Drosophila melanogaster: one gene and its partners. The protein of the gene in region 4 interacts with the protein of the main gene of each other region in a pairwise test. Each region holds a gene or a part of one and is shown on either strand. Other genes may lie near its edges.

The links.
Region 1: the proteins of CG43386 (region 4) and MESK2 interact in a two-hybrid assay, tested with the Drosophila melanogaster proteins (one large-scale study listed by BioGRID).
Region 2: the proteins of CG43386 (region 4) and sle interact in a two-hybrid assay, tested with the Drosophila melanogaster proteins (one large-scale study listed by BioGRID).
Region 3: the proteins of CG43386 (region 4) and CG15296 interact in a two-hybrid assay, tested with the Drosophila melanogaster proteins (one large-scale study listed by BioGRID).

The regions. Positions count from the first base shown.
Region 1 is NT_033778.4:21,499,605-21,507,174, reverse strand, and holds the start of MESK2 (misexpression suppressor of KSR 2), read right to left. Parts: upstream 5,079-7,570; 5' UTR 4,696-5,078; intron 1,029-4,695; exon of another isoform or gene 840-1,028; intron 1-839. Other genes in the region: TAF1C-like (TATA box-binding protein-associated factor RNA polymerase I subunit C-like), read left to right, coding at 5,630-7,570.
Region 2 is NT_033777.3:10,331,187-10,341,731, reverse strand, and holds sle (slender lobes), read right to left. Parts: upstream 8,618-10,545; 5' UTR 8,456-8,617; coding exon 8,419-8,455; intron 8,336-8,418; exon of another isoform or gene 8,243-8,335; coding exon of another isoform or gene 8,236-8,242; coding exon 8,149-8,235; intron 8,082-8,148; coding exon 4,573-8,081; intron 4,511-4,572; coding exon 4,289-4,510; intron 4,225-4,288; coding exon 3,787-4,224; 3' UTR 3,467-3,786; downstream 1-3,466. Other genes in the region: CG18545 (uncharacterized protein), read right to left, coding at 114-649, 710-773; CG12592 (uncharacterized protein), read right to left, coding at 1,181-1,621, 1,686-3,256, 3,317-3,329; CG12818 (uncharacterized protein), read right to left, coding at 9,133-9,876, 9,935-10,034, 10,091-10,113; Bruce (BIR repeat containing ubiquitin-conjugating enzyme), read left to right, coding at 10,545-10,545.
Region 3 is NC_004354.4:10,563,356-10,569,476, forward strand, and holds CG15296 (uncharacterized protein), read right to left. Parts: upstream 3,237-6,121; 5' UTR 3,204-3,236; intron 3,144-3,203; 5' UTR 3,134-3,143; coding exon 2,624-3,133; 3' UTR 2,487-2,623; downstream 1-2,486.
Region 4 is NC_004354.4:9,972,367-9,980,066, forward strand, and holds the start of CG43386 (uncharacterized protein), read right to left. Parts: upstream 5,040-7,700; 5' UTR 4,793-5,039; intron 1-4,792. Other genes in the region: CG15252 (uncharacterized protein), read right to left, coding at 5,839-6,228, 6,354-6,413, 6,480-6,623, 6,683-6,751, 6,806-7,015, 7,133-7,252, 7,401-7,700.

The DNA of each region.
Region 1 (7,570 bases), on a different chromosome or scaffold from region 4:
GGCAGCAGCAGCGCAGCAGCGGCATCACAACGTCACAAAACATAAATCACATAAAAAAACAAAGAAAATAAAATTATAATAACAAAAGCAAATAGAATGATGATGAGATTGAGTCACACGAAAGCCGGATTGGCGGGGGTCCACAGTATCAAATGATTGACATTGGTTAAGAAGCAGCAAGCCACTACAGTGGGGCATCGCTTTGACGAAGCCAGCACCAAAATTCGGTTAGTTATGCTCAAAGTCATACGGTAAAGCGATCAACTTTTAAACTTTATGGTTAAGAAACAGCGATAATAAGCCAGGGCCAAATAAAAATGTATTCAAAATCCAAACCCTTTAGTTGTTAATCGATTTCTTTTGAGAGAGTGAGATAAGTTTGAAGAAGTAAAAGAATAGTCAAATGTAATAAATTCCACATCCTTATTCATAGAAGTAAATCAAAGCAAGAACATTTTCTATTCCACATCGAATCGATAAGAATGTTCTTAAACGTTCCAGTGAGTGCACTATGTGACTTGACATGACATGAAATAAGCATTATTGGACTTATGTTAATCAGAATCTGGTGCACCTTAAAGATCAGCCGAATCTCAAGACCTTCAACCTCACTTTCTGCCATCACTATCCAAGCTCCACTGCAGGGGGGAGCACTGAGCTGGGGCGTCAATGCTCGTACTTGAAACAAAATATGCAGGCCAAGCCGCGAGAGGAAGGCGATGTGGGTATGTGGGTTTTGGATCTGGGTTTGGGATTGGGGCACACAGAGACTGCTGCAGCTGCAACCCCCCCGAACCATTCCCATCTCCTACGTCGCCAATGTAGCACATATGCATTACATTAACCCAGTTTGGGCCAAGGGTTGAGGCCTGCTCTCCACGTGCCCTGGCTTGAAGCCAAAGTGGAACGGAGGCATGAAAATTTCACACATCCCCGGGAGGCCACACACATCTTTTCCTCCTCCCGTTCTCGTTCGTCGTGTAGTATTTTTTTTTTTTTTTTTTGCACTGATTAAGTGCGTCATGCGGCTCGAATTTATCAACTAATAATCACCGGACAGCAACGAAGCAAATGCAAACGCTTCAAGCACTCCAAATGCTATGACGCAGCTCCAGATACAGATAATTATATACATGTTATGTACTGGTTGGTCACTGGGCAAGTGTATAAGTTCAAACGATAAACAAAACAAAACTCGTTATGGCTACTATTTTTTGCGTCTTAGGTTTTAGAACCCAGTCAAGCCAAGCAATTTGAATTCATTTCCGAGCTGGGACCTCAGTGCGTATGATGAATGTGGCTCCAGGGTAAACATACAGCAAAATGTATACAAGCCGGATGATTTGGGATGCCGAGCCAGAGTTGTTCTAGAGTTTTATTATTCAAAAGCCAACGACTTAAGTATTTTATTGCTCATTTAGCTGCAATGGTAACTGCATAATTTAGCCATTCGAATTGAAACTTTAGTCATAAAATCACGACGTAAAATGAAGAGAATGGCATAAGTCGTGACTTCCAAATGGAACGATGCATCGCTTTTATGGTTTCCAGCTATCTTATCTTGGTAGCTGCGATTCAAACTGGATTCTTGACTCTCCAATATCTTTCGAAACATCTCATCAAGCCTTATCTTTGGTTAAACAAATAACTAAGTTAAGTAAGTAAGTACAGTGAAATCATACAAGACAATTCTTTTATCAACTGTTATTGAAAGGAACATGCTTGATTTCAGCTGATCAAATAAAATGACCAACTTTTATGGCATAATTACTGGTTTTATCAACCATATAACTGATGAATAATCACACAAAAACAACAATGATTTGTTGCCCTAGTCTGAAAACCTAAACACAAATGACACCGCATTTAAAGTTGCCAAGTACATGGGCACTCGCAAATTCCGCGGCCATCCTTCGCCACTAAAAAAGCTGTTAGTCTAGCTCAACTTTGACCTTTTGCTGCTCGATTTATGGGCGCTGATAAAGTTGCGCTTGCACTTTTCACCTCGACCACACGAAATGGTATATGATATAATGGGCCTAGCGCCATATTTCTACATATATATGTACATATAATGTAGTAATGTATAATGTACTATAGGCTTATTGGTGGCAAGCGATTTATCAGCGGCATCTGGGCCACTTCAATTCCAATAATTGCAGCCCAGCGTGTGCCATTTATGGCGAATTATTCATAATTGCGATTGCACGTGAAGAGTGCAGAGGAGGAGCTTGAGGTGCAAGCAGCGTGGAGCCATTGAAATTAGCCATCGGCTAGAGTGGGACGGCGACAGGCGAACGACGTGCCCTGGCTTTTCCGTTTTTCCGGCCCGGAGCGAAAGGAGCGCACGGAATATCGACAATTTGGCAGGTCGCCCACGGCAACCGTTGGCAGGTCAACGGGCAACAACAAACCGAAGCTCAAGACAGCAATCTGAACTCAATCTACTGCTGAACTGTGTACTTGATTGGGATTCAATGCTACTTCGGATTTACCGACTCAGAAGACTAAATAATTACGATTTTTTTTCTTCTGAGAACAAAAGTGATTTACATAATCCTTGAGCTTTTGATTTGCTTTAAATGTATCTTTTTCTACTTAGACGTGAAAAGAGATAATTTTAAAGGAAGTCTGCTGTAGTTACATACATAATTCATTGTTAAATTATCATTTAATACGTTTAATGGCTCTTGTTTTTTGTAAGATCTTTCAGTGTTCGATTTCCTTGGAAGGTGGCTAACAACAAGTTCTCTGCTGCCCCTAAAAATACTTGCTCAACTATTGTATTGACTGCAATTTGTCCGAGTCCTTCAAGGATATCGCCTCCGATGTGGGAGGGGGTACAAATTTGCAAAACAGAAATTATTCAAATGTTCTTTGGGGGGCGGAGAGACAAGATACCCCATCGGTAGGGGGCGTGGCAGGGGTTCTGGGGCACCGACAACGGCAGCAAATCACATACAGGAAATGTCACGCTATGTCAAGCCGCAGGCCAGCAGGAAAAAAAATCGTACAGCCGAAACGAACCAAATCACACGCTCAACGTCAGAGCGTGTTGTTGCAGGATATGGGAGAATATCAGTTGGGTAGGTGGGAGGCTAGGGGCGTGGCACGGTGGGGCAATGAGGGGCGGCGCAGGTTGCCCTACTGTTACGTGTTTGCAATCGATTTGAAAGTTACATAAAAACAGAGCCGCAGCAGACCAAGGGCAGAAAAGGGAGAAGGTGCCAGGGAAGTTGGTAAACACCTGAGTGGCCAACAAGAGCGTCAACAACAACAACAACAAGAACAACAACAGGAGCAGCAACAAGGCGCCAAAAGCAATTTGTGCGGCGAACTTTTTATTGTGTTTGCCTTCTGAGTAAACTGACCTACGCATTAAACATGCAGGAAAGTTAAACATCAGATATAGATACGTATACATACATGTATGTACTGGACTCAGATACTCAGGAGGACGAGACGAAATCCTGTCCATGGCGATGGCGCCGACAGGTTACAGTAGAGCCGTTAAAGTGGAGTCCTCACCCATTCATTTCCACACCCAAAAACCGCTAGAAGCAATAAAATTTCACAAAACAGCGAATAACAAATGTCTGCAGGAACAGTAAACACTGCCAATAGGTAAACCAATTAGGGCAACTATTAGAGATAACAGTCAAGTCGCTTTTAATGAACAACCCCATTATTCCATTTCGCTTTTCCTTTGTTTAGTTAGGAAAATTGGTCGACTATTGTCTAGAAAATCAACTCGAAGTTGATTTGAGGTTTTTTTGCGAATTGCCTAGATCGTCAAATTTCTTATTTAACTTAATTGCAATTCAGAATATGGAAAAAAGGTGTAGGAATCAAGGAAACCTACTAATTTAGAATCCCAGGACAACATGCAACCGCACTTTTTTTTACTGGCATAACTTGGTTTTCAGCACACAGGCTTCACTGTGGCAGCTGCTGAAATGATTGCGGCGAAGTTTTCTGGAGGTCGTTTAGAGTGGAAAAGCGCCAGCTCCGAGAGAGGGAGAGCGATAAAGAGGAAGAGAGACGGAATGGAGCGAAGGGGAGGGCAGCAGGGGTCCATTACGTCAGAGCCAGAAGCCATTTGGGTTTTGTCAAAAATTAGCAGTTAGGAAAAGCGAGGAAAACCCAAACGAAACCAAAGCCAAACATACACAAAAAAAAAACGAATAACGAATAAAAACGAACATCATAAATGGATGAATTAGTACAGATATGGCGAGCAACAAGAACAACAACGACAAAAACGTGCATACAACAACTAACTGTTAACTAAGTAAAAAGAAGAGTGCGCAAAATATACAATAGTGCTAATTGAAAAACAGATACTGGGATGCAAATGAAAAGTTTTAGATGAGGCAGTGTGTTTTCTTTTCTTTTTAATGGGGGCGAGCGCAGAGAGAGAGAGACAGGATAAGACAGAGAGAGAGAGAGAGAGAGAGAGAGGGAAGAGTAATAGATAACTGCAACAAAACAAATGCAAGCGGAGCGAGAGGGAGGGGAGTAGGATTAGAACTGGTTAATGTTATCTTCCAGACCCGCCCCTCTCTTTCACACCTTTCCAATTGGCATTTGTTTTGTTGTCTGTTTGGCACTTGTATGTATGTTAATTGTGCCCGTTGTGTGCGGTAGTGTAGGTGTGAGTGCAGGTGTGTGCGTGGTTGGATTTAAAAAACTCACCTGACGCTTTCCGTTGCTTTTTCTTCTATTCTTTTGTAGGCCTCAAAATTGAGATAAAAACTACTACCGCTTTTTACCAACGCCTTCTTTTTGGCTAACAAAAAGAGACCGTTGTTTTAACTGCACTGTCTATGAAAAAATCAATATTCGGTCTCGACCAACTTTTTTCTTCACCTTTTCTTTTACAACTTGTGTAATTTCTGTGCTCGTTCTGTTTCATTCACTTATTCTCTCGCTCTCGCGCGCACGCACACACACACACACGCCCGCTGTTCGCGATTGCCAGTAATTTTCGGGGATCAATTTCTTGTAATTTCTCCAGCTGCTTTCAAGTCTTTAATTCTCGGTCTCGATGCAGCGCAAAGCAAATTTGATAGTGATGGGGAGAAACATCGATGCATCGGGAATCGATGTTTTCATATAGGTGCTATCGAGCTAGCCGATATTTTAGAAATAGTATCGCCGACCAGCGATACATCGTCGCTTATCAAAACATCGGATTCTTAAATATTTTTGACTTAAAAATGTAAATGTTACTTATTATTGGTGTCTAAAACCTTTACATTTCTTTAAAAAGGTATTTTACGATGCTTTTTTTTTCAATGTTACATTTTTGCACTTCCAATGTAATGTAATAGATAATCCAAAACCTATATTATTTTAATATATTGTGAATATTTTGCTTGTAATGCTCATAACAGCAAGCATGCGGTTGGGTAGACATAAATACCCATCACTAATCAGCTGTTTCTTGCGTCCAGAGGAAACGTCGTGCGTTTGGCGTTTGATTGAGTCAAATTCAATTTGTTAACTAAATTCTTTCGTGCAGAACTGGATAGCTGATCGAAGAAATCCGTAAGCCAGGCTCACATGCATCAAAACACATCGGCCAGCTAGCAAAATCCGATTTCTTATTTATACTCCAATTACAGACATGCCGCGACGCTATCAAACAGCTCTCAATTCGGCCAAATACAGTGCCCAGGTCAAGACCAAAACTAGTGACAACGAATCCGATTCCGAAGATGATCTTCCGCCGGATCAAGATGCTGAGGATAACAATGAGCCAGATAATCTGCGCAGCATTTTGGAAAATGCGCCGCACTTCTCTTATCCCGGCTTGAACACTGGAATGTTGGGCCAACTCTTGTACGATCATCAGGATAATCCGAAGCAGGACTTGCCAAATTGCTCGGTTACGGTGCCGCTACCCCTCTTCCTGGCAAAGGATGGACAAACTCCCCGAGTGGAGGCATGCGTCCAAAGGCCATTCCGCTACGACGATTGGACACGGCAATTGCAATTAGGCAAGGCTATATTTGATAGGCGACTTAAAAATATGAGACAGCGTGTACAGAAGCAGGAGCAAGGTGTACACGATGCCAGTCTGTTTGAGATGGCTGAGCACATAGCCCAACAGGAGAATTCCTTCTTCAGGGACAGCTACGATTACTACTACACAGGCGGAAACCTAAACACGATTCCGTTTGATGGAAACGATCAGCTGGCCATGCATGTCAGCGGTAATAAGCTCAGAGATTTGCACTTTTCCCGAGATTATGGTGAGGCGGAGTTTTGGCAACCATTGCATTCGGCTACGATAGAGGAATCCTCCAGCGAAGTCTTTGAACTTCTTCCGCTCCACAATTTAAATCGCAGTCAAATGTTCCTGGCACGGTTGCTGAAGGAGGTTTCCCTATACGAACTTAAATGCAAAGACGAACAGGATTCGGATTCAGATTACGAACTCATTCGCCATTGCATGTTTAGCAGTCAAGTAGCTCCTTTTACAAGCGCTGCACAATCATTGGCCAATGCCAATACATTGGCCTTAGCTAGCCAGGATAGGTCTTTGCGCTTCGTGGATATTTCGACACAACAGGATATAGCCAAGCTTGATGTTTGCTTGCTAAAAGGACTGAAGAAAACCTCGAGTACCTGGGCACAGTTAAAGCAAGCAGAGGAAAGCACCTTTCACTGCCTAACACAGCCAGTTTTGTTTACCGTAGATGTGCGATGCAATCTGCCTCTGAATCCCTGCTTTGCCAGCGGCGTTCACTCAAAAGCTTGCGAGAGGTTCTCTTGTTTGGCCAAGGGTGTGAATCCTAATCTCTTGTATGTGGCTAGTAATCACAACTTCCACTGTTTGGATATCAGATGCTTGGGTAAAAAGCTGACCGATCGAGCTGTCGTCACCTGGACGCATCAGATGACCTATCCACCCTGTTTTATTGACACAAGCGTTCACCAGGACAGTGAATATATTGCGTTAGGTGGACTCTTACCCAAAGATTTGCGAATTTGTGAACTGCAAGGAGCTCAGGCAAAAAGTGTCGATGAAATGTTCTCGCCGGCAATACCATTTGCGCCGGTAACCCTGGAAGAAGCTTTAATAGATGCTCGCTTGGGAGGATTTGTGGATGTCTATGCTGATATAGCAGAGCGGGTAACGACCTGCATTACAGGAATGCGCTTTATTGGCTTAGAGGGGGCCAGTGATCAAGCTTTTACCCAGTTGCTAACCTCCAACAGCTTGGGAGATGTTTACTGCCAAAGACTAACGCTTAGGGATGAAGAGGAGCATGTCCAGCAGATCAGAACCGGAACTCATACAACGGAAGCCATTCGCTACCTTGCCAATGCCGTTAATGAGCGCGTCCAACGCGAGAACATCCGCTGCACACAAGTCCAGTCGATACCAGAGATAAGAGACATCTTTCGAGATGGTGCCAAAAGATCAAAACCTGAAGAAAAACCTTTAATCGTAGAGGAAATCGAAATTGACTATGGCATAGAAGATACTGATGTTTCAGAAGATGAAAGCCCAGCCTCTGAAAAGGTAAAGGAAGAACCTTCGGAATCCAAGAAAGGTGGT
Region 2 (10,545 bases), on a different chromosome or scaffold from region 4:
TTGGCGTTGTCCTTAGTCAACTGACGGGACATTAGTTCGACTCATAAATAAAACAACAATTTTACTATATATATAATACAGACTAAATATTCAGTATTCATATTGTGGTAAAATTACTGCTCCCCAAGCCAACTGACCGAACTGCTATTGGTTGTTTCAACTGCAGACGGTTCCCGGATCACCAAGACGTAGCCAGCACTAGTCCAAACACTAGCTACGTAGATTCCAAACTTTTTACGCAATATGATTGGAGCCGGTCCCTTCAGAGGTGACTGCTTCATTGATATGACCTTCATTTTGGGAGATCTTTTGTAAGACTTCTCGTCGGTGTCCTCCAACTTAACGCGCTTCCTCATTTGTCGCAAGCCAAATGAGCCACGATTTCCAGATGTATCCTTCTTCCGAACCGGTGGTAAATGCTTCTTGGTCTGGACCTTCTTTTTGGGTGTTCTTTCGAACGATTTCTCCAACTTAATGCGTTTCCTCATCTGTCGCAAACCTATTCTCTCAAGTTCTTCTGAAAGATCCGAGAAACTGTCCGAAATGCGTTTGCGCTTCGAAAATTCTTTGAATTTGCTGGCCACAGAAGAGGATAGCGACGAAGACAGTTCATCCTGGATGTAGGCTGCATCGCCAATTTTTGCATTGACTAAAAGCAAAAATCGAAATAGGATACTAAATCTTGAGAATAGAATAGCATTTTACTTACAAATTGTTCGCATTGCGAAATGGTGAGCCATATGTGAAAAAATATGAAAAGTTTTGTGCAACATGACGGACAGGCAACCGCCAGCCTACTTTTCCAGAGAATTGTCCCCGAATGTTCGGACCCCTAATAAAAAGTTTCCTCCTTCATTTTGTATTTGTATGGGTAGGCTTTATTTTCTATTTCTCAGATGCTCAAAAAAAAAATGGGACAAGTTCGAAAATTTCTTAATTGATTTCATATCTTGATTGGATCAACAACCAACTTGCTAGCGTTAAGTGTGGTTAAGTGATGTGCAATTGAACAAAATAATAATATATGGCAAAGAGCAAGGGCTTGCGTAACAAATAACCAATAGAACAAATAATAGAATCAAATTCAATCGGGGAAATGCTAATGAAAAGAAACAAAAACTGAAGTATGCATTGTGTACACTTAACATTTCCACTAATTTTTCTCTAAATGTAATGTATCCTAAGATCTGCGAGCAAAGATCTGCTCCTTGAAGCGCAGCGCCGCCTGTTTGGCGGAATTGTGTTCGACCTTTGGTGCTGCGTGCTTGGCCCGCTTCCTTGACATCCCGGAGGGTCCTGGCTCCTCGCGGAACCCATGCATTTTCGGTGTGGGCGGCAGCTCGCGGAAATACTTCTGTTTGGGTGTGCACGGCTCAACTCGAACCATGCCCGAACTTGTCTTAATCAGCTCGATTATGGGAACTTTAGTGGGCGGCTCATCGACCACCGTCACGTAGCCAGCATTTGTTCGAATACGATGGCCGTGGTTCTCCTCATCGGAACTCTTTAGCGGTGATGCCTCCTGGGGCTTTTGCTTCTTCTTCCCCTTCTTCTTCTGTTTGGCTGATTTCTTGTCCACCACTGGCGGCTGTGGCGACAATTTGCGCGAGAGCGTACGTGGCTGCGGAGGAGCAAGGACTTTTGGTTATACTCTTATTATTTGTAGGCGACTAACTAACGCTTACCTCTGCTTCGGTGGCTTTTGGTGGCGCCAGAAGATTAACAGCATGACTCACAGCCTGGCGCGCTGCCTGTAGGCGCTTTACATCCTTCTTCAGCGCCGGTGGCGCTGAATTACCTTCTTCAGGTAATTCCGACGCAGATGGTTTCTCAGATGAAGTAGTGGGCTTTTCTTCAATAGGAACTTCACCATTCGAGACTTCCCCGTCGCTGTGATGTTCCTCGGCGACAGTCATTGTTTCGTTTTCGTTGTCCTCCTCCATTGAATCCGTGGAAGCACCATGTGAGCTCTTAAGGCGCTTGCGCTCGTGCTTAATCTCCATTTCCTCAAGATCCTCTGGTGCGCCTGATAGGCTTTTCGACAGGCGCTTGCGCTTGTTTTTCTGCCTCTTTTTCTCGGCCACCATGTCAACAAAGGACTGCGAGGGGCAGAAGTCATTGCCAACTTCAACCCGTTCACTACGGCGTCTCAGTTTGGGATTCTTGGCTGCCAGCTCGGGACTGGGGACATGTAAGGACTGGCGGCGGGATTTCTGTAGAGGGTTAAACATTTTTTCCAAATGGCTTAGATCACTAGAGGCCAATTCGGCGAGCAGAGCTTCTTCATCCGCAGTTGAAATTATGGATTTTTTGATTGTGGAAGGGCTTTTGATTTCAGATGGTTTATCTTCATCAGACATCTCGGTTTCGGCTTGTTTGTCTTTATCAGACTTCCCGTTTTCGGCCGGTTTGTCCTTATCAGACTCCTCGTTTTTACCAGCCTCCTTAGGGTCTTCAGTTTCATAAGAATCCATTATTTCGTATACGCTTTTGTTGCCTTTGGCTCCAGACATTTGGTCCATGAAAGATGTAGATTTTTTAATTTCGGAATGGTTTTCGCTTTCAGCTGGTTTAGCTGCATCACTTTGGTCTTGATCTTGCTCTTCCTCGTCATCAGAATCCACGATTTCGTACAGGCTTCTGTTGTTCTTGGCTCCAACCTTCTCTGTCTTCTCCTCCTCGTCGTGATCCGAGGAGTCTACCTCCATGACGCTGATATCGAGTTGCGTTTCTGTCTTGTTAAACCGCTCCGATTTGTTCAGTTCGTTGAGAGCGACTTGGCGAGATCTTTCCAGCTCGGTTTCCGAGATGGAAGATTTTTCCTCACTGACGTTTAACAGTTGGGCCGCTTCGCTCAATTTACTGGCATTGGATGAGCAGTTACTTTGGTTTTTGGGCTTCTCTGTTTTGTTCTCACTTGAGTCGTCATTGGTCTGAACTTTTCCATCATGTTCTTCATCACTGGGGCTCGCTATAATAATGCGGCGACGTTTCACGCTATCCTTCTTCCGAACCGGTGGTAAATGCTTCTTGGTCTGGACCTTCTTTTTGGGAGTTCTTTCGAACGATTTCTCCAACTTAATGCGTTTCCTCATCTGTCGCAAACCTATTCTCTCAAGTTCTTCTGAAAGATCCGAGAAACTGTCCGAAATGCGTTTGCGCTTCGAAAATTCTTTGAATTTGCTGGCCACAGAAGAGGATAGCGACGAAGACAGTTCATCCTGGATGTAGGCTGCATCGCCAATTTTTGCATTGACTAAAAGCAAAAATCGAAATAGGATACTAAATCTTGAGAATAGAATAGCATTTTACTTACAAATTGTTCGCATTGCGAAATGGTGAGCCATATGTGAAAAAATATGAAAAGTTTTGTGCAACATGACGGACAGGCAACCGCCAGCCTACTTTTCCAGAGAATTGTCCCCGAATGTTCGGACCCGTAATAAAAAGTTTCCTCCTTCATTTTGTATTTGTATGGGTAGGCTTTATTTTCTGTTTCTCAGATGCTCAAAAAAAAAGGGGACAAGTTCGAAAATTTCTTAATTGATTTCATATCTTGATTGGATCAACAACCAACTTGCTAGCGTTAAGTGTGGTTAAGTGATGTGCAATTGAACAAAATAATAATATATGGCAAAGAGCAAGGGCTTGCGTAACAAATAACCAATAGAACAAATAATAGAATCAAATTCAATCGGGGAAATGCTAATGAAAAGAAACAAAAACTGAAGTATGCATTGTGTACACTTAACATTTCCACTAATTTTTCTCTAAATGTAATGTATCCTAAGATCTGCGAGCAAAGATCTGCTCCTTGAAGCGCAGCGCCGCCTGTTTGGCGGAATTGTGTTCGACCTTTGGTGCTGCGTGCTTGGCCCGCTTCCTTGACATCCCGGAGGGTCCTGGCTCCTCGCGGAACCCATGCATTTTCGGTGTGGGCGGCAGCTCGCGGAAATACTTCTGTTTGGGTGTGCACGGCTCAACTCGAACCATGCCCGAACTTGTCTTAATCAGCTCGATTTTGGGAACTTTAGTGGGCGGCTCATCGACCACCGTCACGTAGCCAGCATTTGTTCGAATACGATGGCCGTGGTTCTCCTCATCGGAACTCTTTAGCGGTGATGCCTCCTGGGGCTTTTGCTTCTTCTTCCCCTTCTTCTGTTTGGCTGATTTCTTGTCCACCACTGGCGGCTGTGGCGACAATTTGCGCGAGAGCGTGCGTGGCTGCGGAGGAGCAAGGACTTTTGGTTATACTCTTATTATTTGTAGGCGACTAACTAACGCTTACCTCTGCTTCGGTGGCTTTTGGTGGCGCCAGAAGATTAACAGCATGACTCACAGCCTGGCGCGCTGCCTGTAGGCGCTTTACATCCTTCTTCAGCGCCGGTGGCTGCTTGGACGATTTCGCTGTGTTGGTTTCCGATTCTGAGCCGATGGTGCCCAGGAGCTTGGATGGCGCTTGCGCAGCAATTCGCTTTGGCTTCTTTTGCTTTGCTCCGCTGGCAAGATGCTATAAAATATAAGCGAATTTAGTGTGAATCGTAAAGGAGATTTTTTATTTAAGAAACTGACCTCTTTCTTTTCCTTTAACTTAGCCTCGTTGGCAGCTTCCAGGAGGTTGTGACAGTATGCCAAGTAATATTCGGCAGTCTTCTCCACCTTGACCGGCGCCATACCCTTCGGTTTTGAAGTCACAATTTCTGTCGGTCTTTCCTCGGATCGCGGTGAATCGCAAGTTTTCGGCTTCTCCATGAGAAGCTCCTCAACGGCGACAGTTTCTTCTTCTTCAGGTAATTCCGACGCAGATGGTTTCTCAGATGAAGTAGTGGGCTTTTCTTCAATAGGAACTTCACCATTCGAGACTTCCCCGTCGCTGTGATGTTCCTCGGCGACAGTCATTGTTTCGTTTTCGTTGTCCTCCTCCATTGAATCCGTGGAAGCACCATGTGAGCTCTTAAGGCGCTTGCGCTCGTGCTTAATCTCCATTTCCTCAAGATCCTCTGGTGCGCCTGATAGGCTTTTCGACAGGCGCTTGCGCTTGTTTTTCTGCCTCTTTTTCTCGGCCACCATGTCAACAAAGGACTGCGAGGGGCAGAAGTCATTGCCAACTTCAACCCGTTCACTACGGCGTCTCAGTTTGGGATTCTTGGCTGCCAGCTCGGGACTGGGGACATGTAAGGACTGGCGGCGGGATTTCTGTAGAGGGTTAAACATTTTTTCCAAATGGCTTAGATCACTAGAGGCCAATTCGGCGAGCAGAGCTTCTTCATCCGCAGTTGAAATTATGGATTTTTTGATTGTGGAAGGGCTTTTGATTTCAGATGGTTTATCTTCATCAGACATCTCGGTTTCGGCTTGTTTGTCTTTATCAGACTTCCCGTTTTCGGCCGGTTTGTCCTTATCAGACTCCTCGTTTTTACCAGCCTCCTTAGGGTCTTCAGTTTCATAAGAATCCATTATTTCGTATACGCTTTTGTTGCCTTTGGCTCCAGACATTTGGTCCATGAAAGATGTAGATTTTTTAATTTCGGAATGGTTTTCGCTTTCAGCTGGTTTATCTGCATCACTTTGGTCTTGATCTTGCTCTTCCCCGTCATCAGAATCCACGATTTCGTACAGGCTTCTGTTGTTCTTGGCTCCAACCTTCTCTGTCTTCTCCTCCTCGTCGTGATCCGAGGAGTCTACCTCCATGACGCTGATATCGAGTTGCGTTTCTGTCTTGTTAAACCGCTCCGATTTGTTCAGTTCGTTGAGAGCGACTTGGCGAGATCTTTCCAGCTCGGTTTCCGAGATGGAAGATTTTTCCTCACTGACGTTTAACAGTTGGGCCGCTTCGCTCAATTTACTGGCATTGGATGAGCAGTTACTTTGGTTTTTGGGCTTCTCTGTTTTGTTCTCACTTGAGTCGTCATTGCTCTGAACTTTTCCATCATGTTCTTCATCACTGGGGCTCGCAATAATAATGCGGCGACGTTTCACGCTAGACCTCTCAGCTTGTTCAGATTCTTCAGCGTCTTCAATTTCATCCTCGCCAGAGGAGTAGCAAAGCTGTCCTAAATCTTCCTCGTCTTCGTTGTCCGATACAATAAACGAATCGTCGCCATCAGATTCTTCTGGGGTAGACTCCTCAGTATCTTTACTGCCAACGGACTCCCCATCGATTGGAATTTCATTCTCCTCCATTTCCCGGCGAAGCGAACTGTCCATCGAATCTCCAGACATGTAATCTTTCCCAGCATCTTCAGCTTCTAGGTCCACAAATTCGGAAATGGATTTGTCTTCTTCGTGCTCCTCCTCGTTTTCTTCTTCATTCCCGTGGTCTTCAACATCTTCCTCAAAGCTTTCTAGACGAGCCAGGATTTTATTCTCAGCCTTTTGCTTTGACATGGGTGATTGTTCCACCATCTCATCCTTAGCATTCTTTGATTCCAGCTCATCGAATGGCTTGATAGCATCAATTTGAGGAGGTGCTGGATGCAATTCCTCCGTGCTGTTGGACAGGCCACGTTCCTGATCTTTTAATATTGGTGTGGAACTATTACGACCCTTTTGCAGAGCCAGTTTTAAGGGCGTCTCCGGCTTGGGGGTTAGAATGCGACAAACTGGCACCTTCTCACGTCCTGGAGTCTTGGGAAACCGTTTCTTTTCTACCTCTAAGTCATCAGTGTCGTTGTTGAAGTCCACCGATTTTTTTTGCTCCACAGCAGGAGAACGCACAGCACGAGCTCTTATGCTGGGCAGATGTATAACCTCGGTAACATCGATTTTGTTTTGCTTGTCATCATCCATTGAATCATCTGGGTGTACTTCCTTACTGTCTTCGACATATTTTGGAGCTTCCGACGGAAATACCGGCTCATCGTCGTCGAGGTCTACAAACTCCAGTTCTTTTGGTTTCTCTACTGGCTCATCGGTTTGTGGCTCTAACTGAACAATCGAATCTTCTGCATCCAAAAACTCTTGGTCCTCCATGGACTCATCTTTTTCTGGGCTTGTGTCCATTAAGTCAACAGTAGAAACGTTTTGTGGAGTATCTCTTTTCTTTTCTATTTGAGGATGATCAATCAGTTGCTGAGTTTCTACTTTGCTTTCAATTATAGGGGGTTCAATCTTCTGGGGAGTTTCGGTTTTCGTTTTAATTTCATTGTCTACCCCAACGGGCTCGTCTTTTTCTTTAATTTCAGGAGTGCCAACAGTATGGACTTTCTGCAGAGTCTCGATTTTTCTTTCAACTTTGGGGGACTCGACGCGTAGTGTTTCAAACACATCATCCATGTTTTCTTCAATTTTCTTGGATGTCGAGGTTGGAGTTATTTTTGTAATTGTATCTGCGCTCTCATCAGGGTGAAGAGCTTTACTTGAACCTTGAATTTTCGAAAGTGTAGTAAATGACTTCAGGAATGATTGTTTGCCAGCATCCTTGTCAGGTTGGGCTGATTCGTGTGTTTCTGGTGCCTGTGAATGGGCTTCAGTGATAGATTTATTTTGCTCCTCAACAACTCCATTATCCTTGAGTTCATCCGGTACAATCAATGGCTTCGCCTTTTCCATCTTCTTGCCAGAGAATTTGTCCATTGAAAGTTTCTCGAGCCTGACTGCCACTTTGGGAGTGGTTTTAATATTGGGTTTAGCTTTTTGCTCAACTTTGGGTGAATCGTTAAGATCACGAGGCGTATTACTGGACGAACGAGTGGGCATTGGTGGAGTCTGAGACATTGAACGCGTCACTCGTTTCTCATCACTCTGCTGATTGGGTGTGAGTGTTCGCCCTGGACTCGGACTGACACTGGGCTTCCGCTGTGCCTTTCCCTTGCCCTCTTTGGGCACAGGGCTTGGACTGGGGCTGGGCTTTTCCTGCTTGACCTCATTTTCCTCAGGTTCCTCTGTTAGTGTAAGCTGTTGGCGCACAGATCTGGTGTTTTTAGCTGGCGTGCGAGCTGTCCTTTTCACGGAAGAGGGCGTCGTCGGCTCGGGAGTTTCACCGCGTGCCAAGGATGCGCGCCTGGTTCGTGTTGGAGTCCTCACATCTAAAGTGGACGAGTTCAGACGTGTGCGACGTGTGGCACGTGGCGAAGCGGTACCTTTTGAAGCGAGAAATAATATTCTTAGACTTGAAACAACCGGGATCCGAGTTGGGCCACAACTTACCGAGTTCCGCAACCGTATCCAACTGCGGAGTGCTCGGACGACTGTCCGTTTCCAGAAGGGACAAGCGACGAGTTCTAGCCCGGGTCACTACCATATTTATTGGATTAAACGGATAAACGAAAAAATGAATAATGTGTAAGAATAAATTTTATTCGATCGAATGCAAAGGCGACCTGCTTGAGATAGGAGCCCCCCGTTAATGGCTGACTTTGGAGCGCCGGTTTACTTGTCCCGTTGCTTTTTCAGCACAGCACGCTTAGATTCACTCACCGCGCTTTCCATCTGTGTTCTCCGTATTATCATCCATTTGGCCCGGCTCTTTTGTTTTTCGCACACAACAATTAATTGAAATCAAGAGAGTTTCGAACCCGCATGCAAATTATAACAAAGAAATAGAAACGAAGACGCCAAGACGCCGAGCCAAAAAGTGATTTTCACATGTGCCGCAAACTGCGACGTTCTCTAACACTGCAGCCGGCTGTTGAGCATTTGTGTGGCGGCCGTTAGAATTCAAACTAGTATAGTTTCGGGGCTAAATTCAATGTGTCGATAGCCTAATATCACCTTCAACTGATGAATTATCTTAAATTAAATTTTATTCGAAATTAGGTTTCTATCTTCTTATTTTAAGTGCAAAATCACTTAATAGTTCGTCCGATTTAGACGCTGTGCAGCATTGGCCTGTTTCGGCACCGATAAAGTAGCCGATATCATTTAAGCGGAATTATCGCGAAATCTAAATTTAAACCATGACCAAACCGCCAAGACTTCTTGTAACGGTTGAATAACTGGATATTAAAGCGATGTGTTTATACATATGTATGTATTTATAAAAGTACAAATATTTGACGATAATCATTTTTATATTTAAACAAAGAGTATTTTTTTAGACAATTCAATAATAAAGTGTAATTTCTATTTATTTGCTTAGTGATTATATTCATAATCAGGCTGTTAACATTAAGTTGAAAACATAATTAATGGCTAGAGCATATTTTGCTTTGCTAACTCCGGATTAAACTGACTGTTGTACTTTTGGACAACCTTAGGCGTCGAAGCCGGCGTGGATTCGGCACTGGCAGCCACCGGCAGCTCCTTGGGTGCGAACAGAGCCTCGGAACGCTGGCGTTCCGCTGTTTCCCGTCGCATGCGCTCCCTTCTTAGCGTCTCGAGCTTTTCTCGTTTTATGCGTTCCTCGGCCAAAAGGGTCTCCCTTGAACCATTTTTGCTCTTGTGCTTCTTCTTATCTTTCTTGGATTTCTTGTCCTTGTGGGGTATTGAAGGTTCCTGAGAAGGCGCGGGTGTCCTTTCGCGAATTCTTTTTGTGGCCTTTTTGGGATCCTTTTTTTCTGGCGGCAACAAAGCATTAATTAGGGTCAGAGGATCGTGGGCTAGCTTTTGCTTATGATGAGTTTCAGTAGCTGTGGGATCCCCAACTTCTGGTCTTTTGGGGGCTAACTCGTACCAGCTGCGCACTTTCAAAGCTTCATTGGTGTCCTGGCCCAAGTAGGTGAGGTAGCCGATCTGCTTCTCATACTTCTCCTGCTCCTCCTTTTGCTCCTTTTCCAAGTCTTTGTTAGTGGTCTTCACTCTCGCCTTGTAGTCGGCAAAGAGATCCACCCCTTTGGTTGTTTCAGTACTGCATTGCGACTCCTCTCGAGATTCCTTGGAGGCCTTCTCCGGCAAGCCCGATTGGCGGCGCAGGAAGTTGATTCGTGCCTCGCTTTCCTATTTGATAAAAGTACACATTACTATGTTAAATTGACGATATTTGGGCAATACCCACAGCAAATTCCAATTTCTCCTGCCGGACTTTTTCTTCTGCTGCGGCAGCCGCTTGATCCCGGCGCACGCGGGCAATGTTCTCCTTGGTACGCACATGCCAGCTAAGAAATACACGTGAATTGATGAGAGGTATCTTTAGAATCAGTATAAAACTTACCGTTTTTTTGGTAAAATATTCATTTTATTTCCACTTTGTTGACATTCCTGTAATCGATTACTCGATAGGCATCTCTGTCTATCGAATGGCTCTGAATTATCGAATGCCCTAAGCGCAGTAGGCCGAATTTGTTGCTCTCTAGCTTGAAAAGTGGACTATTTTATTTATTTTTTAAATGTGTTTACTTTGCTGACTTGACGTGGCCACACCCACTTACACTCGCGCGCCCCCTGGGCACTCGATTAATTTTTGGCATTCACAGGCGATTGCTAGCAATCGAATGGCAAACACATCTGTCAGAAGGTAGAAGAAGAAGGGGCAAAACGAAGAAGAAGAAGAAGCACAGAGCTCTGTTTCGCAGCAATTATTTTCCGAATTGAATTGCGAAAAAAACCCCTACAGAGTATCCCAACCAGAAGCAGGAGCACACAAATTGCCGCGGCGCACCTCCGGAA
Region 3 (6,121 bases), 590 kb from region 4:
ATTATACCTTTAAGCATTTACCCATACCTTCCGTTTAATGGTGTTATTAAGTTAAATAGGAGTATCATCATAATTACCATTCGAGCTGAACATCAAGAACCTTTTGTCTAAGCCCCCATTGCACATTGTTTTCAGTTAATTCTGGCTATATTAACTGGATTAGATCCCTTTGAGTTTGTAACTCTACCAAAATCCCCCCACTTTGCAGCCAGGTCACTGCGAAGTGGCAAGCCGGAAAATAATAATTGACAGAACAATGAACAGCGGAAACTTTGGCTAATAGAAAATGCAAACAACATATTAAACAATTAAACGGAAATTAGCACAAAATATTCACGTCGCCCAATGGGGATGGAGGATGAAACTGAAGTGTAGCAGATCCGGGAAAAAGGATCCGGCATCAAGTCGGTTCATTAATAAACGACTTCAGACGGACGCAATTGAAAGTGAACGGAAATGAATGCAGTGGCCAAATGAATATATGGAAAATGTGGCAAGCGGCGGACTCCTCCAGCGCGACTGCTAATGAACCTGGTTTTACGATGCCATTCAGGTGAGGCGGGGAAGACAGCCAAACGGAAACATTGGAGCAACCGGACGTGGGTGGGGATGGGACGGTATGCTAGACCCCCAGACACCCCCCCCCCCCCCCCCCAAAAGACAAAGGGGCTGCTCGGCCAACTTAAATATGCAAGACAGCGCACGGCTGGGCGCCAAATGTGCCACCCCAGCTTCGCCCACGTCGACTTTTGCGCCCCCCCCCCATGACCCCACTAGCTCCCAAACACCAAACATCAAACCCTAACCCCTAAAATCCCCAGGAACTTCAACGCCAGCTGTGCCGACAACAGCGCCAAGTACCGACTAACATTCGCACTCTGCAGACACACTGAGAGAAAATATCGTTTAATATATTTACTAAGCGTTTTCAATCCAAACAATATACATTTTCACTGATTTGGTGGATTTCCCATTTCAAAACTAGTAATTATAACTAGCTCTGGGGCATCCGCACACATGATTTCATATTAATAACTCGTAATAGCTCTTTATTTTTGCTCAGTGCAAAGCTGCACAGCCCACGCTTTCGAGCAGCATAAACTTACAACACTTTTACCTCATCATCAAGGACTTGAACTTAAGGAAATTGATTTTATGCAACATTTAGAAGAGCAGCATGGAAATAGAATGTGGCAGCATAAAAGGGATACGACCAGAAAACGAGGACCAGACGTTTTGTATGCTAAACCGCAAAGAAAAATGGTGCCAGCGGTGAGGATGAGTAAAGTGACATAAATAAAATCCGTGACTATAAATCTAAGGCATAAGCGGTTAAAGAGTCAGCCAAAAGACGCGGCACGTAGCCCTCATCCCATCCTTACACATCCTCCCTATCCGCGGTATCCTTTTTTTCAGCTCCACAACCTTTTTCGGCATCCTCCATCAGGAGTCACAGCAATGAATCCCGCAAAACGCAGATAAATATGTAAATAGATACAACGCGGATTATGCTTTGGACAACAATGCAATGGATATACTTTAAATACTGCTTGGTTGGTGGGGCGAGAATTCGGCGATGTTGAATTTATGACTTTAAGTGGCAGCTAAAAATGGCTAATTTGAAGTGAGTCCCCAGGTAAGAACATAGCGAACTTCTAATTAAATGTATGTAAATAAGCTAGAACTAATTAAAATTTAAGCTAGTTTTTCAATCAACCGCTCGTTTCTAGATATTTTCAAAGTGCCAATTGCCTAGGGCTGTTCATAAAGTTTATTTCGCTCGGCTTGAAGAAGGGATTTACTAACCCTCCAACATCTGTAGTCCCCGTTTTTATGACCCACCCACCTGTTTACAATTCAACAATAAAGAAGGAAAACCAATCGAAGTTGGTGAAAAAGGGCGTTTAGTTTTTATTTCAAAAATATTCAATAAAAATGCCGGATAATGTGGATGCATAAAGATACTTTAAATTTGATATTTTGTCTCTTATATTAATTGTAGATGTAACCAAAAAAAAAACCAATATAATGCTACAAGTAACAGGTATCCAAACCATAAAGAAAATTCCAGAGAAAATGGATTTTCATAGGTGAAAAAAAAACTAAATTTTTTATGCACCCGCAAGGGTCACATTAAAACGCATGTTAAGCAACACGCAAAACAACTGGATAAAGGAAATGGGAAAAAGGGTTGGATTGATTTGGTTTGGCTCGCTTGGCTTCAGCTTTTCCTTTTCCCGGGAATGGGGTTGGAAAATCCTTTTTCGCACGGCTTGACTTCGGTTGGCAATGCGGCTCGACTGGCATTTTAATAGACTGTTGACAATTCTCACTGTTTACCGAGTGTCTGGGCGAAGAAACAGTTGAGGAAAAAAATGAGGAAAATTTTGATAAGTACGATTATTGCTGCTCTACAGCTAATTCCAATTGGATTAATAATTTTTCAACAAATTGTTTGGTTAGAGTAATGATTCGAAAGGCGAATTCTTTGGCAATCTAAAATATTTATTGGCCTATTGCAGAGTATTGGGGATTCTAACATGATACATGGTCTTTACTCAAAGATTTAACAATAAGATTTTGTAGAGAGTAAGGCTGATTTTTCTTGTTTATAGACAGTTGTTTAAACCCTCTGTTCAAGAGCTCCATTTCCCTCTTCCCCCGCAAAATTATCTACGGTCTTTGGTTTCTCAAATGGGACTAAATCCTCGAAAGATCCATCGCCAGCTGCAGAATCTGGTGAATCAATAATCAGTTGCTCCTTATTTGTGGAAGTATTCCACCATTTTGAATATTCTTTGTGACGCAATTCCTTGGCCTTTTCCACCAAATCCAGACAGGTGACCTTGGCACCGTCGGCCAATTCCTCCGAATAGTTGGGTATGTTTCGAATGATACGAAAAGTGCCCTTCACTCCTTCATTGTAGTATTTCCGGGATAGCTCACCCACGCTCAGATCGCTCTCATCTAACTTCAGCGTTCGTCGCAGAAGTCCAAATACTGGTTGAAGACCATTGGTGATCTGATCGAGCAGGTGGTCCGTCTCCTCTGTCTTACCCCAAACTCCAACTCGATTGGTTATGTAGACGGTCATCGAGACCGCTGCAGTTCGATACATCAGTGTAGTAAACATTATCGCAGAACTATTCAAAATTACGTTTGTTAATTATTAAACTACCAAGATATCGATTTGGATTTCGTACTCACAACAAACACGTGTGTACCTTAGGACTTTTCGAATAAGTCTAATCGATTTAAAATTATGGGCCTACTACGAGGACAAAAGAATTTTACATGAAAAGAAAAGGCCAACTTTAAGAATCTTTCGCCTTTTTTTTTTTCTTTTTTTTCAAAACCATGAACTAAAGTTTTTAGGTGAGACAAGAGTTGTGGGTTCTTTTTAGTTTCCCACTAGCATCCCTTCATCAACGGCGGTGTTATCCTTTTTTTTTTTGGGGGGTGTGGGCGGCGTGCTATAAAAAACGAATACACTATCCAACCAATAGCGGTAGCACGGAAACCCAAAACAAGTGAGTAAAAATCTAATCCATTACTCAAACCAGCAAACTGAAAAAGTAATGGTATTGCCCACAAGCAGAAAGAAGGAGGCGTCGATTGCGGATGCGGAGATGGCGTTGAGGTTTTGGATGGTGTAAATCTTTTGTAACATTTTTGGTGTCCCCTTTTTTTAACGTGCCCTTTGCACCCCTCTTTTTTTGTGGAGCATATTGGGATATTGTATACGTGTAGTGTACAATCAAAATAATATAACTGCTCATTAGCTAATTACAGAATTGTGTTTGTTATTTGTTTGTAAAAGACACAAAGTAGACACAAAGAAAGCGTTTAATTGTGGTAGTACGTCAATGGGTAGTTAGTTAGTCGCTACAGCCGCCGACAACCATTCTTTACTTCTTTGTTATTTTGGGAAAGGAGCACATTCCGTGTGTGGAGCTACGTGAATGGAAATAAAACTGCAATTCGGTTCAGCACTTGAAAACCAGTTGAATGTCGCTCAGGCGAGTCAAAGGCGAGACGAATCTTCCGGTCCTGTTTGAAGGAACTTTGACACCCGCCAAATGACCAAGCTTCTCTTCTCTTCTCTCTTCGGTTTTTTTTTTTTTTTTTTTTTTTTAATTTGCACAACTTCTGACCCAAATTCATTTGTCACAGAATGAAGGCGGCCAAGCAGCAAAGGACCAAATTCTTAGCCCCTTTGGCGTGAGTCTGCCAACTTTCTATAAATAAATAATAGAGTGGCCGGCAAAGGTGGGGTCAAAAGGGTCCTTGGCCAGGACACATCCTGTGCCTGTGTATCCATTCATTGGCAGAGTCATAAAGCCCGGGAATAAATGGGTCCTGCGTGGCCGAGGTGCAAGGCGTGGAATTGCGGCTGAATGGATTAAAGCCTCTGAAAACATGAATTTCCTTGCGCCATTATTGCACTGAAGATAAGGATTATGCTAGATAAGGATTATCTTATTTCAAACATTAGTTGGTAAATTTAGATGTAGTTTTAACTAAAATATGAATAGGTTTCACTAGTCTTATGTGCCCAATTCATTACAAGCATCCTAGAAAAAAAAAAGGAACAAACCATACCGAATACGTGACTCCTTTTGTGATCCTAATGAGCTGCTTCACTACTTTCCCTTTTTGTGCCCACAACTATGCGCCAGCCCAGAATTTTCCCTTCCAGCTTAATAGCCGGAAATTAAATCAAGATTTGCGGGCTCAACTTTTGGGTATGCCAGCAAAAGATAAAACAAAAAATAAGACGAGTAAAGGAAATGAATACGGGAGACAGCAGCTTTCATTTGCATATTTTGCACGGGTCCTAACTCGCATTTACAATTTTTCATTCATTTGTCCATTCCCTTGGTCTGGTTTAGCCACCCAAAAAAAAAAAAAAAAAAAAAAAACCACCCATTCAACTGACACTTTGACCATGAAAATGAAAATATGTTGGAGTTTTTTGCGGTACTGGCTAAGAAAAATTTGGTAGTCATGTGAGCAGAGTTTATGTGTGTGGATCTGTGAAAAGCGCAAGTGTAATTAGTGTGAGGCTTAACGGGGCTAAGCCAACAAACATTTCGTGGATTGGGTTTAAAAAAAAAAAAAAAAAAAAAAAACCAGACTGCACCAAAAAGTAATGCTAAACTACGGGCAGACCCTTTTTGGACTCTGTTTTTCTCATTTTATCTCTAGAGATTTTCTAAAAATTCTAGAAACAGTTTTTAGCAGAAAATAGGCATTTTGCATATATATATATACTCATTACAAAAGAAATATAGTTTTTAAGTTCTTTCAGCCCACGTATACTTTTAGTATTTTTTTAAAGGCATCGATTTTTCTTGATTTTTTTGCGCAACTCTGACTTTAACAGCATTACGAAATGGCATTTGAATAGTCGTTGTAGCTTTGGTTTTTTTTCCCCACAAAGACGAGAGTCCGATGAATGCAACTGAAACTGAAACTGCAACTGAAACTGAAACTGTCTCTTCTAGCTGATAAATCGCCGGTGCATTATTTACGGTCCACTCTGCTTTTTCAGCTCCATGCATGGTTACTTTTTATGGTCGGTACCTATGACGTATACGCGATATTAGGTATGCGGTATGCGGCATGCGGCATGGGACACCGACACTTTTTGTTTATTCTCTAATTTACTGGGTAGGCCAACAGAAAACCGCACATAACAAACAGCAATCAGAGAAGCCATGTGTAAATGGCCTTGCCAAGTGCCAAGAGTATCGGGAATTATGATACGGATAAAAATTTTTCCAGTTTATAGGAGCGACGAATGAATGGTTACTAAAAAACAAAATACAAAAATGTCAAATATATGATAATTTTGAAAGAATGCGACACAGCTAAAAAAAAATCGAATTATAATTTGTCAAAAAATCGAGGTATTGACTTTTCTGGAAAAATGCATCGTTCCATGGCATCAGAACTATTGGCTATTGGTTTTTAAAAAATCATCCAGCTTTTTTAATAACAGCATACTTAAGCATTAATTGATGAGTTATTAGCGGCCGATGTATGAAGTGAACTTTATCTGTGCATGAATGCATTGAAATGTGCGATATATTGATGTATTGGCGCAATTCGCATCATT
Region 4 (7,700 bases):
AACTAAAAAAAAAAAACGCTTTCAATTTATATCGAATCGTATCAAATCTATTCGAAGCAGTTGATTAAGTCAATTTTGAGATTTAAATTGGATTTAAACAGAATGCGATCATCTGCACTCGACTTTAGCATGTTTATTATGTTTCCCATGCAAATCTAGATTTATTGAGCAATTTTCGGATACTTGTTAAGCAAATTGCTTATGTCACGTGATATTGGAATGGGTTGTTTTGTTTTTTTATATCATATTCAATAATATTCAAGATTAATTTAGACTATTAAGAGATTTCTAAGCTTAAAAGTCTTGATCTATTAGGATGAACATAGTCGCGAAACCGGCTCGTATATGTTAATGAAAATTTTCCATAATTTCCAGTTTTAATATTCGAAAAAGGATTATTGCGATCCTTGGCCAGATCGTCTGTAATCAATCCGTCAGCCGCTCATTTAATTGCAAATGTCACTGGCGATTTCTGGGTGCTTGGGAAACCTTTCTAATTAACCCCAGACAGCCAGTGGCCACTTAACCCGTTTTTGCAGTAATTTGCTTATCAATGTAGCGATTTAATCAACGCCTTGGCTCAAGGTCATCTGGGTCGTTTGCCGGAACGGGACCGAAACATAATCCTTAATTGACGTGAAGAGGTGCTGGCGCACCTTGCCATGCTTTTATTTTGTTTGTAGTTTTATTTTTATTTATCATTTCATGTGACGACAGACGAGCGAGGGGACCAGATAAAGCAAAATTAATGCGCGCATCCGTTGAAATGACAAATAAAAAATGTACAAATTTCAGCAACGAAACCGCAAAAACCCAAAATGCAAAGTGCACGCTCGGCTGTCAGCGTTTTTGTGGGTCACAAGGTCGGGAGATGTCTCTTCAGAGGCCTCCACCTGCAACACCATCTCCATCTCCACCTTCATCTCAACATCCACATCCACATCTGTGTATCTTTTTATACACATTTTTTTTTTTTTAACAGATCGCAGAACCTGTGCCCAGTGCATGCTCGAGTGCCTCTTACTTTGTGGCCTTAGCTAAATTAACTTTCAATTTTCTTGTCGCAGCACGAAGCCCTTGAAGATGTTTTCCGAAAACAAAAGCCACATTCTGACCCATTTTAGTAGGGTTATGAGTTTAACGAGTGAACAGCTACTGTATTGGACACATGAAATAAAATAATTTGCTGAAATTAAATGATTGTACCAAAAAGATTCGTTTCGGAAGCCTACAATAAGTGCATTGTATTATGTATATATGTATATTTAAAGAAGTATAATTATATTTAAAATACTTCATTTACCTAAAGCTTTTGTGTGGCTTTCATGTTTTCAATTAAATAACAATCACTAGAGATCTGCATGTCAAAAGATCCGGCCAGTTGTTCTGCCTAATTTGGCAGCTCAATTAGCAAATTATCCATGAAAATTCAATTGCAGCTTGTTGCCGTTGAGGCGCCTCAATTAGAACGCTATAATTGCTGGCCAGCCCCGCCACTTCGTCAGTTTGTCAGTGAGTCAATCTGTCAAACTGTCCATCAGCGTTGCAGCGCGTGTCATAATGTTTATGACAGAAAACCGACAACAGAAAACCAGAAAAAAAAATGTTAGCAAAAAGACAGGCGCTATGTGTCTTGGTTTTTATTCAAAGCAATCTGGCAGAAAACATGCCGTTTTGGCCTGGCCAAGACCCCAAAAGCGCCCCAAATCCTTGCCCCCTGAACCCTAGTGACTTTATTCACTACAACCAGATCTTCATTGCATTTCCAGTTTCGCCTTTTGGTTACAATTGTCAGTTTGTGTTGTGTTTTTTTTTTTTTTTTTTTGTGTTTCTAAACTTTAGTTGTCGCGTCGAAAATGTCAGGGGCCGAAATAGTGGGGCAGACGCATTAAATCCGTACTAACCAGTGGCAACTTGTTCTCTGGAAATGGCTATATAGCATACGCCATATAGCATATAGCATAATACCCTTCGCCAACATGTCGGGGCATAATTTGGCATTGCCCAACTGGCGGGGGGGTTATGCAACGGTTGTCATTATGCATTATGCGCTGGCTGCTATTTTTTCTTTCTTTTTTTTTTGTGTGGTTTTGCTCAGTTTTGGGCCATGGCATTAATGTCACCTGCTCATCGCTGTTCTGGCCACAATGACTCCGCTAAGTGCACGCAGGAAAAACAGAGAAAAAAAAATTAATAATAAAATTAAAATGGAAAATAGATATAGTGAAACGGGTAACAGGTCTATTGGGCACCCCCTTGCTTAACGAGTAACCGTTTACACGCCGCAAGTTGGGAAGACGGTCATAACCATTACCCATTAACCAATTCATTTGGACCGAGAGTGCGGCTCGTTAACCAGATGGAGGAGAAGCCAGCACTCGATTCCGCATCCATTTCCATCTAATGTATTCAACTCCGCCGCAGCAATGGGCCTCTAATGAACTGCTGATGGCTTTGCGCAAGTGTTTTACGGCCAGTACATTTGACATTTGACCAAGGAAATGTTTTTAAGACTGGGATTACTTATTAATAAATATCTAAAATATGCCAAAATAAATATGTGCCAGGTATAGGCAAGATATAAAAAAAAGAGGTACCATATATCTTTAAAACCAATCACTAAGCAATAGAACGTCTTGCCAAAGAATTGATATTTTTGTTTTAAGAGATACGTTCAAATGACTTTTAGTTGTTGTGTGTAGACAATCTCTAAAAAGTTGCAATTAACTTAGCAAATCCCACGAAGATTTGCACCACATGTGTAATACTCTAATGGAAAAATAAAGTTAATTCGGTTTATATTAAGACCGTTTGTAAGCCAATCTTTCGCATCGAGTGCTTTTGCTTTGTACCCAATAGCCGGGTCGAATTTAATTGGAAAAGGCGTTGCCGACAGACTAAATAACTGACCACCATTCACTGAAAACTCAGTCTGAGAATTAGTATTAGAATCGGACAAACGAACTTTGTTCTTGGCCAGGCAAAAATGATTCGTTTGATTTTGCGCAAAGGTTGCCGGAGATTCAGATTCTGCTGTCATGTAGCGTTTATTTGTTTGTTCAGCCATTATTGTAATTATAGTATTAATAAATCTCGCCACTGGCGGCCGGCGAAGGTCGCCCCGTAATAATATCATTTTGGCATTAGATATTTTGAAAGGCATTTCAAATCTGATCACTTTGCTTAATTGCCGTGCAGAACTTAGTGCTGTTAAATGAGGCGTAAATTGGAAATCACTTCTAAGCTAAACGAAAATGCCAAAGGCTTATGAAATTGCCAAGCAAATAAAACTCAAGAGTATTAAACATATTTTATAATAGGCAAAAACACTCCGGTAATAACATAAACAGTCATTCGCCCAGACCCGCATCAACTTATAATTTACTGCCCAGGAAAAATATCATCATAAAAAATGTGTGAAAATTCGTATAATACAAGATCTGCGATACGGACTTTAACGCTCATAATTGAAACATAAAGCCACAACATATCGAGTGGTGGATAAGAAATTTCGAGATTTGCATATTAATCGGCCCGAAAAATATAAAAGGGTGCATTGTTTAACGGCCATAAGTTTCTACGCTTTTCGATATCGGGTTGCCACAATCGATTTGCATAACTCTCCCGAAACAACCGCACAATTTGGAGCGTCGCCTGGTCAATAAACTTATTGACCGACTTAGATATGACACCTGCATATATATCTTTTTGTTTATGAAGAGACGCAACCCCCCCCCCCCCGCCGGTTTGCCTTCGGCGGATTTCCAGCTCGACTGCTCCACTTTCATGGCGTTCACTTTCGCTTTTTTCCTCGTTTTCGATTTTATTTATTTATTTTTTATTTTGGCCCAGCTATCATCACTGAGTTTTGTTATTGCTTATGCCTTAGAGTTGATGGCTGATAGCTTTTAGCTTTTGGCCCAAAGCGCGTTGATGGCTAAACTGGCTGCTGTATCTTGGGCTAAGGCTTATCTGGCCAGAGCCATCGATTCGACGAACGACCTTGAGACCGTTACCGGTTTCTTTGGGCCAGGCCACTCTTGCATGGCCCAGACAAGTTGGTGATTTTTTTTGTTTTTTTTTTTAATTTTTGAGTGTCTTTTTAGCTCTGACTCTGGTTCATCCTCAATCATGACAGCGACCAGGGGTCAGGCCGAATATGAGTAGTAGGTTACCAGGTAGTTAACCCCGAAAATTCAAATGAAATGCGAATGAAATAGAGTAAAAAGGAAAGTTCCCTCAAATCACTTCCCTATAAAAACAAAAAACCTTTTTAAAATGTATGTAAAATTTGTAATTTATATAGCATTTTAAGTAGCACGTCAACCAGTAAATGTTGGACACCATCCATATAGCTTAATATAATCAACAATCAAATATGACACTGAACACAAAGCGTAAGTCATAGGAGAACAATAAAACTCTCCCTTTTTTCGGCTTACGATTGGTTAGGCTCTTGTTAATTGATTTATGAAGCAATTAACGCATTTGAATCTTCACTTTTGCATTGTTGACGTCGGCGCTGTTGCCAAATTTCGGTAGCCAAAGCGATTAATGGACGAACGCTAACCAATAGCGCCCCCCCCCTCTTCAATAACCCCCTCCATTAATAGCCCCCCGTAGTGTTGTTTGTTTTTGGAACAGACCTGACCTATGCCAGCATTTTCAGTTGAGGCTTAGCCCAGTTAGCAAGTTCGTTGCCTAAGTCTTTCGTTTTGACATACATTTTGAGCTGGGATTGTCGCTTATTTCCCTTTTTTTCGGCTTTCAGCCGCCTTATATACATACTCACCCGAAATATAATAAAATAAAAATGCGGCTTGCCAAACTTAATTGCAATGCGAACTCTCCGAAGCACCCAAATATATAATTGAGTTCATAAACAATTTCAAAATGCAAATAAACCAGCACAAACACTGAGCGCACAAGAAAAACACAAAACAATAAACACAACCTGAAGTTTTTCAAATTAAAAACGCGACAACTAAACGGCCCGCAAAATGTCACTTTGTCTTGTGAAAGATTCACGCATAACTGAAAACTGAAACTCGCCGCTAAAAAAATATTCAGCCCACTTCAAAAAAAAAAAAGAGAAAGACAGAATGAGAGAGAGAGAGAGAGAGCAGGCGGAAGAGAGAGAGCGAGAGAGTCAGAGAAAGCACCAGAAGTAAACAAGTAAAAGCATTTTAATGAAACCTGTAATCAGTAGAAAGTGACACAATGCCCGCTCCATTGGGCAAGCTACCAAGTAGTTGGCCCACGGAGAAAGGTTCAGGGAAAACTCTTGGGTCAAGAAGATCCAAAAATATTCGCTATTAGGCTATTGGGTTACAAAATATATATTAATTCTATCTTTTTAATTTAAATATTAGTTAATTAAGGTATTGCCAAATGTATTTAAAACTAATTTTTGAAGCGAAACTCCTGAGCCGAAATCCGTAGTTCATTCCCCTGTTCTACCTTCCACTGAACTTTAGTTTGAGGAAATGAACCCAAACAAGCTATTTCACCCCTCAACCTTTACTTAGTTTTTACTTCCGCTCATTGCGAGCTTTCGCTTTTTGCGTTTCCATCCAGTGATTTGCCCCACCGCATCCTTGGGGGAGTGGTTCATTGCAGTGGCTCCCACTGAATTCCATCGGATCTCTTGCATCAGCCGCTGTCCAAGCTGTTACGCCACTTGATTTAGAGCCCCTCTTTTACGCTTTCTTAGCTGCCCAAGTGACCAACAAGTCTTTCTCCTCACTTCTTTATTTATTTCGGTTACGAACTAGCAAAAAAAAAATGGGTTTAACACAAACGATTAACGTAACTATGATTATGTGATGACTAAGCTGGCTAGAATGGCTCATTATGGTAGGGGTTCCAAGATCTATGGTGATCTGCCGGCTTGGCATGATGACCCATGCTGCTGCTGGCGAAAATATTCTTGGCTGCACTCGAAGCTCCTCCAGCGGCTCCCAGACCGGCATTCAAAATCAATCCAAGGGCATTGCTCACCAGATGGGAGGCCACTTGCTTCACAAATCCTCCAGAATCAAAGTTATTTGCCGCCGCAGCTGCCCATCCACCGCCCTCCTTCTTCTTTCGCGGGCGTGGCAACTCCGCACTTCCGTGTCGCTCCTCTGAGCCGTCCTCTGAAATTGGTCGAAACTTTGCCTCCAGGAAGCTGGTGATCAGGTTCTTGGTGAAGGTCAATGGTTGCGGTGGGCCCTCCTCCTCGGGATCCTGTTAAAGATTGTAGAATGTTGTTTATTGCACTCGCTAAATAAATGACGTTCAGGGGTTAGTAACACAGTTATGAGGTTGGGATCTAGAAGGTAAATATATATATAAGCAAAATATATAAATACAGCGCTCAATGCGGCCAGCACAGTGCCCAAGAAGTTGCCTATAAACTGGCCATTGTTAATCTGGAAAAAATAATATATGCAAGTAAAATGACTGGAAATTCATGAAAATAGGTTTGAGGAACCCACCGCTCCACCACCTCCAGAGAGACCATCCAAAGCAGTGCCCACATATTGTCCCAACACGAGGCCAAAGTTCTTATTCCCGCCCAGAAGACCAGAGATCAGCGAGGTTCCCGTTTGAATCAGACCTTGCACATCTAGGCCTCCAGGCTAAAAGATAGTTTTTCTATTTAAATACCCTTGATTGATTGGAAAACTTCAATACTTACTCCAAATAAAGTGGATATCACACCGGTAAGGGCACCAATTAAGGCACCCACATCGGAACCACCTTCACCCTAAATAAATCCATTTTAAATAAATATTTATGGGTTTCTTAGCCTTCCACTTACACCGCTCAGGCTGCTAATGATGCCAACCAGACCGCCACCGCCTCCTCCACCACCTGCTCCGTCTCCGCCATCACCGGGCTCATCCCCATCGCCCAGGTCATCGTTGTCATCCGTGGCCAATTCCGACGAGGAGCCTGTGCCCTCCGCCTCCACCTGTTTCTCCGGCTTTGCTTTCATTTTCGGTTTACCTTTGGCTGTAACATTTGGCGACTTCAAAAGGCCGTGGGACAAAGGGTTAGGTGAACCAAGTCAATGTTGGGTTAGGTCATCATCAATTAGCGGTCATTGGGTTAGTCACAAAGGGTTAAACATGGGTCCTTTGCTCACCTTTACGTTTATATCCAGATCATCGAGTTCCGAAGAGTTGGGTTCTATTTTAATTCGCCTCGGCGGCGGCTGATCCAACATATTTTCCAGGAAATCTTCCTGGAAGCGCAAGTCATGAGCCTGGCGTTAAAAAAAATCAAGCGTTCCATACTAAAGACATGCATTTTTAGCTTAAACTTAAAAGGTTAATCATTTTTATATTCAAAAACCACTTTTGAATTAATGTATGTGATTTTTAAGGAATTGTGAATAATTTCTCTAGTACTACCTCAGAAAGTATGGACTTTATAATCCTCATTTCCTCCGGAATTTGTCGTTGCTCCGCCTCCTCCTGGTTGTTCCGATTCTCCTGTTTCCTCTGCTTTGTTCCATTCTTGATTTGCCTTTTGTGGATCACCTTTTGCTTGGCCTTGGCCAACACTCCATCCTCTCCAGCCTGTTCCAATAAATGCTGCAGAGCCTTGTCAATCTTGGCCTCCAGTTCGTTTTTCATTTGTGGCACCTGCTTGATGATATTCCGTCTCAGTTTTCCCAATCTCTCGCCCAATTTTGGCTGATCCGTGAGATC